Callithrix jacchus: one gene and its partners. The main gene of each other region encodes a partner of the protein of the gene in region 2 in a complex. Links are inferred from orthologs where the notes say so. Each region holds a gene or a part of one and is shown on either strand. Other genes may lie near its edges.

Evidence for each region.
Region 1: the proteins of OSGEP (region 2) and LAGE3 are in contact, whole or in part, in a crystal structure (PDB 6GWJ), measured with the Homo sapiens proteins. The link is inferred for Callithrix jacchus from reciprocal best matches to the Homo sapiens genes OSGEP and LAGE3. Residues at the interface, in NP_060277.1 of Homo sapiens: Arg50, Ile53, Leu54, Asp55, Leu57, Gln58, Leu61, Gln69, Ala84, Val87, Ser88, Val91, Val92, Arg94, Thr95, Val96, Gln98, Leu99, Trp100, Asn101, Leu315, Ser318, Gly319, Val320; in NP_006005.2 of Homo sapiens: Glu76, Ile77, Gly80, Ser81, Leu82, Pro84, Asp85, Asp125, Gln126, Leu129, Val130, Arg132, Thr133, Met134, Arg136, Phe137, Gly138, Pro139, Pro140, Val141, Arg143.
Region 3: OSGEP (region 2) and GON7 share a complex: the UniProt entries of both Homo sapiens proteins name them as parts of the EKC/KEOPS complex. The link is inferred for Callithrix jacchus from reciprocal best matches to the Homo sapiens genes OSGEP and GON7.

Annotation. Positions count from the first base shown.
Region 1 is NC_133524.1:150,271,164-150,274,304, forward strand, and holds LAGE3 (EKC/KEOPS complex subunit LAGE3), read right to left. Parts: upstream 1,959-3,141; 5' UTR 1,924-1,958; coding exon 1,736-1,923; intron 1,433-1,735; coding exon 1,304-1,432; intron 1,083-1,303; coding exon 968-1,082; 3' UTR 948-967; exon of another isoform or gene 694-947; 3' UTR 501-693; downstream 1-500. UniProt on the Homo sapiens protein: Component of the EKC/KEOPS complex that is required for the formation of a threonylcarbamoyl group on adenosine at position 37 (t(6)A37) in tRNAs that read codons beginning with adenine.
Region 2 is NC_133509.1:55,177,689-55,181,650, reverse strand, and holds the start of OSGEP (tRNA N6-adenosine threonylcarbamoyltransferase), read left to right. Parts: upstream 1-1,162; 5' UTR 1,163-1,302; coding exon 1,303-1,417; intron 1,418-3,756; coding exon 3,757-3,876; intron 3,877-3,962. Other genes in the region: DNA repair nuclease/redox regulator APEX1, read right to left, coding at 1-90, 290-347. UniProt on the Homo sapiens protein: Component of the EKC/KEOPS complex that is required for the formation of a threonylcarbamoyl group on adenosine at position 37 (t(6)A37) in tRNAs that read codons beginning with adenine.
Region 3 is NC_133509.1:128,019,454-128,023,645, reverse strand, and holds the start of GON7 (EKC/KEOPS complex subunit GON7), read left to right. Parts: upstream 1-1,392; 5' UTR 1,393-1,450; coding exon 1,451-1,658; intron 1,659-3,649; coding exon 3,650-3,744; 3' UTR 3,745-4,192. Other genes in the region: putative E3 ubiquitin-protein ligase UBR7, read right to left, coding at 1,047-1,196. UniProt on the Homo sapiens protein: Component of the EKC/KEOPS complex that is required for the formation of a threonylcarbamoyl group on adenosine at position 37 (t(6)A37) in tRNAs that read codons beginning with adenine.

The DNA.
Region 1 (3,141 bases), on a different chromosome or scaffold from region 2:
GCATGTGAGGAAGCTACCCAAGGCCAGGGAAAGACATCACCCCAGCAGGAAAGGAAGAAAGGTGACTCCAGTATGCAAGCAGGACAGGGACTAGCAGCTGTCCCCACCCACCAGGATACAGAAGCTCATATTCACCTGGGCAGCATTGGCCAGGGTGCCCTGAATGGTGTTTGTTGCCTCCATAGCCGGGAAACTGAAGTCTACCATAAGAGCTGCTCCAGTCCCATGCAGCACATCTTCAGAGAAAGACTAAAAAGGATCAAACCGTTTCCATGTTTTCTGAGGATACGCAGTTGTACCTCTTTATTTCCACTCTCAGAAAATCCAATTGAATCTACAAAAGAGTCCTAAGACTGAGTTTAGTGTATTTACAGGGAGCCAACTCCTTCCCCAAACACTAGTCAGTTGACCCAGCACTTTCTTCACTGTTAGAGGAAAGAAGCTCATGTTAGATTTAAAATTCAGGAAAAAAAATTAACGCTAAACTTGCAAAAATTATATGCTGTATATTACAGTTACACGTTTATTACTATTAACTTCAGGGGAAAACAACTGTAATAAATGTAACTATAAGGAAGGATTCCAAAATGTTGACAGTAGTTGATGCTGAATGAGAGCCCAGCTGATTTTCATTTTCTTCCATTTCCTAAATTGTCTTCAATTTCCTTGAATATCTGGATTCTAGAACCTCCCCTGTAACCGAAGCACAATGACTAGAATATTGGGAGGTGCTGTAGCTGAAATAAACTCAGACTTGGAACAGTAGCTCAGTTTTATTTTCTGTGGTAACAAACATTTAAGAACCAGATCAAACAAGGGGCCCCTGAGCACCCACGGGCCAGTACAGGCCGACCATGAGGCTTTCACAGGAAAATAGCAACTGTGGGAACTCCTGCCCTAGGGAAAGCTGGGTGCCCTACCTAGGGAGACGCAATATTAGACCTCACCCCATTTTCCCAGGCCAGGCTTAGCGGGGAACGGGGGGCCCAAAGCGCTGCATGGTCCGCAGCACCAGGGAAAGCTGGTCGAGAAAGTTGATGACGGAAATTCGGAGCAGGCGACAGTCTTCAGCTTTCCAGCGGCTAAAAGTGAGGGATAAAGAAAATAAAATTGGAGGTGACAACTCCTGGTCCGTCACTCTGCCGCTCAGGCACCCATTACAGCAAAGCCTCGGGAGCCCATGAGACAGCCCCTCAGGTGGAGACCGGCCCGGCGCACCTGGCGCTCCTTAGGGTTCATCCATGGGTGCCCCCTACGTCTCCATCGGTTGCCTCCCCCAACTCCAGCCCCTTTCAGAACTTACACGGTCAGGATCCTGCCGCTCACTGTGAGATCCTTCCCAATCACCCTTTGGTGGGGCTCGGCATCTGGAGCCAGGGACCCATGCGCGATTTCCGCCTCCAAGGGGGTCGGGAAAGGCACACTAAGGGTGCTGGGGGGGCATTCGGTTAAGGTGCCATCTGATACGACTTTGCCTATGTCTCAGGCCTTCTTGATCCTCTGAAGCCCCCCCTCAGGTCACCCTACCTAGAGTCATTCGCTTTACTCCTCACGTGGCCCAGGCCACCGCTGGCAGGGCTTCTCTCCTTCCATTTCTATTTCTTCCCCTCCTCCGAGCACCCCTGCTCGTCTACCCCGGTCGCCGCCCGCCCTCCTTTCTTCCTCCCCGAATCCAGCCCTCGCCCCGGCGCAGGCAGCCGCCAGTCTGTTCCCGACCTCCCCTTGGAAAGAATACAATATGTGCGGCCGTATTCCTGAACCCCTGGCCGCAGATGCGGCGTCTCTGCCAGGACCTGGCGGGTGCGGTGGGGAAGGTTCGTCAGCCGGAGCTCCCGCTGTGTCCGTGCCCCTGGGGCAGCTGTGGCCACCCTGGCCATCCCTGCCAATTGTGCCTGCGCCAGCGTGTGCATTCGCGCACCGCATGACCTCCGCCGCCACGCAGCTCGGACTCCACCCCCGAGGCGCAGGCCCCCACGCCCCGCCCTCTCTCCCGGTCCCTTTCCCGAATCCCCGCCCCCTGCGCCCGACTCCGCCCACACGCGCCGGCACTCGTTCTTGGGAAGCCTGCCTGGCGCGTGGTCAGTTCCCGCCAAGCGGCCCTGCCGGGTGCCTTCTGAGACCGAGTCAGCGGTTAAGAGGCCGCGGTCTCCTCCAGAAACTCTGTCCCTTCGCGCGTAACTCGATCCCAGGCCGTCAGTGCAAAGTGACCCACAGTCAGTCAGGCCCCAGGAAGCCAGCCCTGACGGGGTTTTGAAGACCCCGTGGTCGCCTAGCCCAGAGGCGCACCCTGCAAGGCTCCGCCCCTAACTGCGCCTTGTGACCGCAGCGCGCCTGCGCCGTCTAGGGCCTGTGGCCTCGGCCGGGCAGGCCCTAGTGAGGCCCTAGTGAGGCCCGAGGGTGTCTGGGCGCTTCCCGCCCTGTTTCTTACCGGTACCCAATATCCCCCGGAGATGTGGCACTAACGTGCATGCAGCGACTCGCGGAGGGACGGTGGCGGGGTCTGATACCCCCCCACAAGGATACTGCTCTTGCCCACGACCCCATGGTCCAACCGAGGGGGCTTCACAGTGGACGGTAAAGAGTCGGATTTACATTTTAGAGGAGGCATTTTAGAGCGGGGTGGGGGCGCTGTGCGGAGCGGGAGCCTGTCAGCAGAACGCCTGCACTGAGGCGAAATATGACGGCCTTGAACGCAAGTATTGGCGCTGTGCCTAGGTCTCATATAACGTGGAAAATCAGACTGCACAACTATGAGTATGAAAATGCCACTTTAGGCCGGGCGCGGTGGCTCACGCCTGTAATGCCAGCACTTTGTGAGGCGGAGGTGGGGGAATCACCTCAGGTCGGTAGTTCGAGACCAGCCTGGCCAACATGGAGAAATCCCGTCTCTACAAAAAAAAAAGAAAGAAAATGCCACTTTAGGGCAGGCTAAGTGGCTCCCGCCTGTAATCCCAGCACTTTGGAAGGCCAAGGGAGGAGGATCACTTAAGCCCAGGAGTTCAAGACCAACATGGGCAACATAGTGAGACCACATCTCTACAACAAATACAAAAGTAACTTTTCTTTTCTTTCTTTTCTTTTTTTTTTTTTAGAAACGGGGTCTCACTATGTTGTCCAGACTGGAGTGCAGTAGCTATCCAC
Region 2 (3,962 bases):
CTGGGGGGTCCTCATACAGGGCTGGGCCCTCTCCTGCTGCCTCTTTGTCGTTTTTCTTTGCGGCCGTCTTACTCTTCTTGGCCTCTGGCTCTATAAAATGAGTAATACATAGTGACAAAAAGTTGGTAGTTTCCAACCTCGATCCGGCGTTAACTATAAACCCAACAAAAGTGTGATGTTACCGCTACTTCTTCACAAACCCCTTAAAAAATGAGCGGCCTGTAGTTACCGTTATCAAGGAAATTCCCGCCGCAGCTTCTAGGAAGAGGGGCTTATTTCATTCTCTTACCCGTCTTGAGCTCTTCCCCGTCTTCTGCCACCGCTCCCTTTTTCCCACGCTTCGGCATTCCCGTAACGAACGCCCTTCGGAGGCACCTGTACCGTGTCGCCCACCGAAGGAGTATTTTTACCGCGTTGCCTACAGACGCAAATAAATGAAATCAGCTAAACCTGGGGAGAAGACTCCTCCCCTAAAGCGTCCCCGCACCAGGTCCCCGCTTTTCAAACCATGTTATGTCTCAATCCTTTCCCAGCCTCCGTGCATCATATGCCCTTCAGCCCCTCACCCACTAACAAGATCATTTCATAGTGCCTTTTACCCTACTGGCGAGATCTGCCCTCCAGCTGAGGATCTTAATTAAGGATCCTGACTCAAGCTTGCCGTTCAGACTGCCAGCGAAGCCCCTCTTACGAGCAGAAGAGTAACCCCGTATCTGCCTGCACTGGTCAGAACGCAGCACAGCTCCTCCTAACCCGAGCACAAAGAACGGTGCACGCTGTGCCCCCACGTGGGTAGCGGATCTGGTCACGTGATCCGAGACTCCAGTCACGTGGCAGAAGAATGTGCGTGATTGGTCTGTCTGGTACCACGTAATGGAGACACTTGGCCTAGCCTCCCTTCTCCCCAGGAGACTTAAGGCCCCAACCCTCCTTCGGGGTGTTTATTGTTGTGCCAGATGCACGGCACATTCTCTGAATGTGGCTTAAGATCCTAATGCTGTGCAAGAGGGGAAAAAAACAATAGCGAAGGCTGGGCTGGACCATAGGAAAGGGATAGAAAAACTGATAGGAATGTAAAGCACAGAGGCGGCTCGGCGTCCCTGGCAGTTAGGAAGACAGGTCCCTGGAGGGGCCTTGACGGGTCTCCGCTCGCGGGAGTTCTGTGGTGTCTCTCGCAGTGCTATCTGCAGTCTCGCCTTCTTCTTCTGTGCCCCGGAAAGCTGCGGCACAGCGCGGACTTGGAAGGACCTCCACTTCTTAGGTTGCTAGGAGTCCTGTCGGCGTTTTCTCCCCGGCTTCGCCATGCCGGCGGTGCTCGGTTTTGAAGGCAGCGCCAATAAGATTGGCGTGGGAGTGGTGCGGGATGGCAAGGTGCTGGCGAACCCGCGGCGGACTTATGTCACGCCTCCGGGCACAGGTGGGTTAGTAAGGGACTTGAGAGTTTTCCGCGCACTTCCCCGCACGGAATTAGTCTTCCATCTTCCTAAATACTAGTTAAGTGGGGCCTTGGGTGCATTGTCCGTTCTTACAGCTTTTGATCCGAGTCTCAGGGAAATTATGTGACTTTATTGACATCACAGGGCTGATAGCTAGAAGAGGTATAGGCACTTGGAGGTGGATCTGAGAAGTTAGTTTACCTTTTATTGAGCGCATTTTATGTGCTAAGCGTTTAGAAATAGATGTTATGATTTTGTTGTGGAATCAGATATATAAATAGATGTTTATTCTTCAGCATGATAAACAGTGTAATAGAGATGGATTCGAAACATTCTGTTTAAAAAATGCTTAGTAGGAATATAGATTCCAGTTGCCCTGAATATACACTCCTTTTTTTTTTTTTTTTTTTTTTTTTCAGACGCAGTTTCGCTCTTGTTACCCAGGCTGGAGTGCAATGGCGCCATCTCGGCTCACTGCAACCTCCGGCTCCCGGGTTCAAGCAATTCTCCTGCCTCAGCCTTCCACGTAGCTGGGATTACAGGCACACGCCACCATGCCCAGCTAAATTTTTTTGTATTTTTGGTAGAGACGGGGTTTCACCATGTTGACCAAGATGGTCTCGATCTCTTCACCTCATGATCCACCCGTCTCGGCCTCCCAAAGTGCTGGGATTACAGGCTTAGGCCACCGCGCCCGGCCCGAATATACACTCCTGTTAAAAAAAAAAAATGCTTTAAAAAAAATAGGATGGGGAGAGAGAAGAGTGGAAAAGACTCCCAGCTTACATGCCAGACAGAACTGGCTGGCTTTGTAATATTCATATTAAATATGTTCTGGACATTTGGTCTTTATTTTTATTTTTAATTTTAATTTAATTGTATTTTATTTTGAGATGGAATCTCACTGAGTCGCCCAGGCTGGAGTGCAATGGCGCGCTCTCGGCTCACCACAACCTCCGGCTTCCGAATTCAAGCAATTCTCCTGCCTCAGCCTCCCAAGTAGCTGGGATTACAAGAGTGCACCACCATGCCCGGCTAATCTTTGTATTTTTAAGTAGAGACTGGGTTTCATCATGTTGGTTAGGCTGGTCTTGAACCCCTGACCTCGTGATCTGCCCTGACCTCGTGATCTCACCTCCCAAAGTGCTGGGATTACAGGCGTGAGCCACTGCACCCGGCTTATTTTTTAATTTTTTTTGAGACAGAGTCTTGCTCCGTCGCCCAGGCTAGAGTGCAATGGCACCATCTCGGCTCACTGCAACCTCTGCCTTCCAGGTTCAAGTGACTCTTCTACCCCAGCCTCCCGAGTAGCTAGGACTACAGGTGTGTGCCACCATGCCCAGCTAATTTTTATTTTTTTAGTGGAGATGAGGTTTCACCATGTTGGCCAACCTGGTCTGGGCTCCTGACTTCAGGTGATCCTCCCAACTCAGCCTCCCAAAGTGTTGGGATTACAGGCTGAGCCACCACGCGGGCCTAGTCTTTGTTTTTAAGATAGGAATAATACATGTATCATTAAATCTTAAAGATAAGATGAAAGTACCAAACACATTACAACTTTTAGTTGATATTTTTAGTAAGCGATTATATCTTGCCTACTCATCCTTCAAACACTTGTATGCATAGGAGAGAGCAACTGACTTGCATGTATCTGAAAAACCTCCCTGAACAGGTGATATTGTGACAGATTACTCATTAGAAATATATATGTATATTTAACATTCACTCCTCTAGACACTTGGGCACTGGGAATACAAAGATAAATAAAATACTCAATGCTTTGAGATACTCATGATTAAGATGAGCAAACCAGGCCGGGTGTGGTGGCTCAACGCCTGTAATGTCAGCACTTTTGGAGGCCGAGGCGGGTAGATCACCTGAGGTTAGGAGTTCAAGACCAGCCTGGCCAACGTGGTGAAACCCTGTCTTTAAAAGAAAAAATATACATATTTTTTAAAAAAAAGAGCAAACCATAGAAAATTATAATGCTATAATTATTATGTTAAATAAATGACATCATCATCCATAGAGTTCTGTAGGGTCACAGAGAAAGATCACCAAAGAGTATGAGGTAGATACCACTGGCATTGAGTCCTGAAGGCTGAGTAGGAGTTGGGTAGGAAGAAGAGCATTTCTGAAAGTTGAACGGCCTATGTAGAAGCTGGAAAGAGTATGTATCTGAAAACCTGGAAGATAGGATGCTTAAGGAAAGTGAAAGGTCTCTTCCTACATCACTAAAACTCCTGTTGCTTTCTTTAACTTCCTACCCACCTTTGCTACAGAAAATCCCTGTGATCTCTGACCTATGTTCATTTTCTAGGATTCCTTCCAGGTGACACAGCCAGGCATCACCGAGCTGTTATCCTAGACCTACTACAGGAGGCACTAACAGAATCTGGAGTAACCTCTCAGGATATTGATTGCATTGCATACACCAAGGGTATGGCTGGGAGAGTGGTCAACGATGGAGGAATGTACCTGCAACCTGGCTAGGTCAAAATAGCCAACACCTTACCTCTGCCATCA
Region 3 (4,192 bases), about 73 Mb from region 2:
AGGTAACTACACTTCAAAAATAGTTTACATGTAGATTTAGAACTTTTTTCCCCTTTTTTTAAGGAAAGCAGAGGAAAAATGGTTTTAGTGGTGAGCAAAGACTTTAAAATACCTGGGGCTATGTGTGGATATCAGGTTTATTCAACACTTTGCAGTCAACAATGACAACTGGTTATTATGATCTCAGTTCATACCACATAATGAATGCAAGTCTCTCCCCTCATCTCTCCAGTGTTCCAGTTCACCCCTCTGCCTAGGTAACACTTCTTCCTACCAATTCTCATCCTTTTGTCAGTTTTCTTCCTACCCATCCTTTTCCATTTTTGTACCTTGAAGTATAGGGTGAGTCACTAAACACCACGTCACACCCCCTCAAATACTTGCTCACTCACAACGTCTTCCAAATGCCAAACAGATCCTTTTCTCCTCTCTCCCCTCCCTTGCCAGAGTCGCTTGCTGTTCTGTTTCCGGTCTATTTCCAGGGGAGGGAGCGGACTGCAAATAGACATGGGTACTTGCTTCATTTTGCCAAAAAAGAAAAAAAGAAAAAGTACTAGCTAGCACTTGTCAAACTAAATTGCAGAGGAACAAGCTGTCAAGGAGCTCACCGCAAATCCTTATGGATTTGAAAATCTCTTTAACCTGACTCTCCCATTCAGTTCCCTAATAAATAAATAAATATTAGGATGGGAAGAGCAAAAACAAAGATGTCTGTGACTGAGAGGTCACGGGGTGGTTTCGTGAAAAGCAGTGGGGCACCAAGAAGAAGCTGGAGAGGAGGGACAGCGGCTCAAGGACCCAACCAGGCGGGCCGGACGGAGTTAGAGAGGGGAGAGGGGGGCCCCTGCTGGACACAGGCTGAAGGGGGCCCAGGAGGTTGGAGCTAAAAGGGCAGAGTGGGCTTGGGGTGAGGAAGCGGCAGACGAACGGCGGCCCCGGACCACCACTGAGGAAACGACCGTGGCAGGCGGGAATAGGGACAGCCCAGCCGCGAAGGGGAGGTTCGGCGGGAGCGGGGTGAGACGAGGCCCGGGCCGCACGCCCACCTGCGAGTAGGAGCATTTCTCAGAGTCGCTGCCGCCCAGGACAGCGCACGCCTCATTCTCCAGCTCCTCGTCCTCCTCAAGGACGTCGACCAACGATACGACGGGCTCCAGCTCCGACTGCCGCCCAGCGGCGCCCTCAGCCCCGGCCATCCTCAACTGTCACCCGAACAGCGGCTCGGCCACGGCGGAGGCGGGAAAAGCGGCCGCGAGGGGCGTAGCCGGAGGAGGCGGGGCCCGAGCGCCAGAAACCAATGACAAAGAAAAAAAGCGAAGAAAGGAGGAGGAGCGACCTCCGACAAACGGAAGTCACTCCTCTCCCTTCTCCCGCCTGCGCCGGTCGGGGGCTGATTTCCGCCTCCGGCTGGCGCTTTCCCGTGTCGCGTTCTTTAAGCTTAGCGGTCGCCATGGAGTTGCTGGGAGAGTACGTCTGGCAGGAAGGGAAGTCGCAGAAGTTGCGGGTGTCGTGTGAGGAGCCGGGTGGCGGCGACCCTTTTCAGGGCCTGTTGTCTGGCGTGGCCCAGATGAAGGAGCTAGTAACGGAATTATTCGGCCCCCTGGTACAGGGGGAGGTGCAGCACCGGGTGGCGGCGGCTCCAGACGAGGCCTTGGACGGTGAGCTCTGAGACTGTGCTGCAACGACAGGAGGGCGGGGCGGGCGCCCAGGGGAAATCGGCTTGGGGAGCCTGTGTAGAGTGACAGACTTGGACAAAGTGAGCCTCGAGGAAAGAAGAATTGCATCTAAAAATTTTTGGTGGGTCGGGGCAGGTGGCTTACGCCTGTAATCCTAACACTTTGAGAGGCCGAGGCAGGAGGATCACTTGAGGTCAGGAGTTCTAGAACAGCCTGGGCAACATATCGAGACCCCATTTATATTATTATTTTAAGAATAAATTTAAAAGATAAAAATTGTTGGCATTTTCAACATATTTATCTGGATTGCTTCTACTCAAGCATTTCCACGACTCTTACCACTTTTTGATTTATATCACAAAAAAAGAAATAGTGCCAAATGCCTACTATTATGTGCCAAACCCTGAGCTGAGCCCTGGAGGAAGAATGAGGTGAATGTGGCTGAGTTCCTACCCTCGTTAAACACAAGGGGATTAGACAGGCAGACACTCTATTAAGAGTGAAAGTGATTCTGTGGCCCTCTGTAACTATTGCAAACCCAGAGACCCCAGGAAGGCTTCAGAGATGACAAGACTTTTGAGCTGGGTGTTGAAGAAAATAGAAAGTTTTACCAGGTGTTAAACTATGTTTGGAAGAGTGCAGTGCAGTCTATCGCAGAGTAGGAACAGGTTCCAAAGATTGAGACAGACTTAATATTAACACGTATTGACTCCCAGGGACTCTCTTGCTATATTCCGGTTTTGTAGGTGCAGTTTGAAAGTAGAAACATGAAGTTTAACTGCATTAGTGTTTTTAAACTGTCTTGAATGCAAAACTAGACAGATTCATTTGGACTGTCCTGAACTGAAAAACCCAAAAACTAGATATTGGAGTCAGGATTTACAATTCTTTAAGAAAAGCCTAAACTACTTTCCTTCCATCTTGGGAATTAACATCTTGGTAATATGGATGTTGGCTATACTCAAAAAGAACAAGAAGTGTTGGCTGGAATGTGAAGAAATTGGAGACCTTGTACATTGTTGGTGGAAATGTAAAATGGTATAACCACTGGGAAATAGAGTTCGGTAGCTCCTCAAAAAGTTGACCTGAAGTTACCACATGACCCAGCAGTTCCACTGGTAGCCCTCTCAAGAGAACTGGAAACATGTTCACACAAAAACTTACACATGAATATTCATAGCAGCATTATTTATAGTGGCTACAATGTGGAAACAACAATTGGCTGGGCTTGGCATTGCACCTTTAGGAGGTGGAAGTGCATTAACAAAATGTGATCTGTCCCTACAATGGAATATTACTAGCAATAACATGTAATGATGTATTGATATATGCTACAACATGAATGAACCTTGAAAACATTATGCTAAGTGAAAACCAGATGCAAAGGGTACATGTTATATGATTTTGTTTATAAATGTACAGAAGGGGCAAATCCATAGAGATAAGTAGATTAGTGAGCCGAGTGCAGTGGTGGGCACCTGTAGTCCCAACTACTCTAGAGGCTGAGGCAGGAGGATCACTTGAACTGGGAGTTTGAGTCTAGCCTGGGCAGCATAGCAAGACCCTGTCTCTAATAAAAATTAAGGGGAAAAAAGGTAGGTTAGTGGTTGCCAAAGGCTGAGGGGAATGGAAAGTGACTGCTAATGGGCATATCATTTATTTTTGGAGTGATGAAAGTGTTCTAGAATTAGATAGTGGTGATGGTTGCACAGGCTAGTGAATATACTAAAAACCACTAAGCTGTACACATTAAAAGAGTGGATTTTATTATGAATGAATTGATATCTCCAAAAAGGAAAGTGATAGACAATAAAGATTTTAAACACTGAAATTCTCAAAATCATTTTAATCTAAAATGTGCATGGTTTTATTAGTTCCTAAAGTGAAATGGTTTTACTCTCAACCACTTTAGCTATATATATTTCTTTCAACCACAGAACATATTGTCATACAACAAATATTTATTTTAAAAGGTGATGATGAAGATGATGCAGAAGATGAAAATAACATTGATAACGTAACTAACTTCGATGGACCATCTGCAAAACGGCCAAAACCACCATCTTAACAATAGCCTTTATGATATTTAAAAGACTGCTATTCTATCCTAATTGTCACACTGGGACATTTAAGGAAGACTTATGCTCTAATTTGGAAAAGTGTTTGTGTTCTTCTCCTGGGACAATTTTGTCAAAGAGAAAACTAGTTTTTCTCTTTCTAGCAAAGATAGTAAAGGTTTGGAAATAAAATCCATTTTCTTGAGAAATAATTTCAGACCATGAAAAATAGAACATAATGTATAAAATCCTCTTAAGTTGGCAACTGAATTTTTATCATTGTTTTCTATTTTTAAAATGACCATTGAATTGTGTGATGTCTACATCTTTTAACTTCTGCTTCTGTTACAACGAGTGCATGTCACGGTTCATAGGCAGTAACATTTCAGAGAACTAACATGAACAAGTGGTGAAAATTGGGCATTAAATGTAAAAATAACAGTTCTTCATAAATAGAAG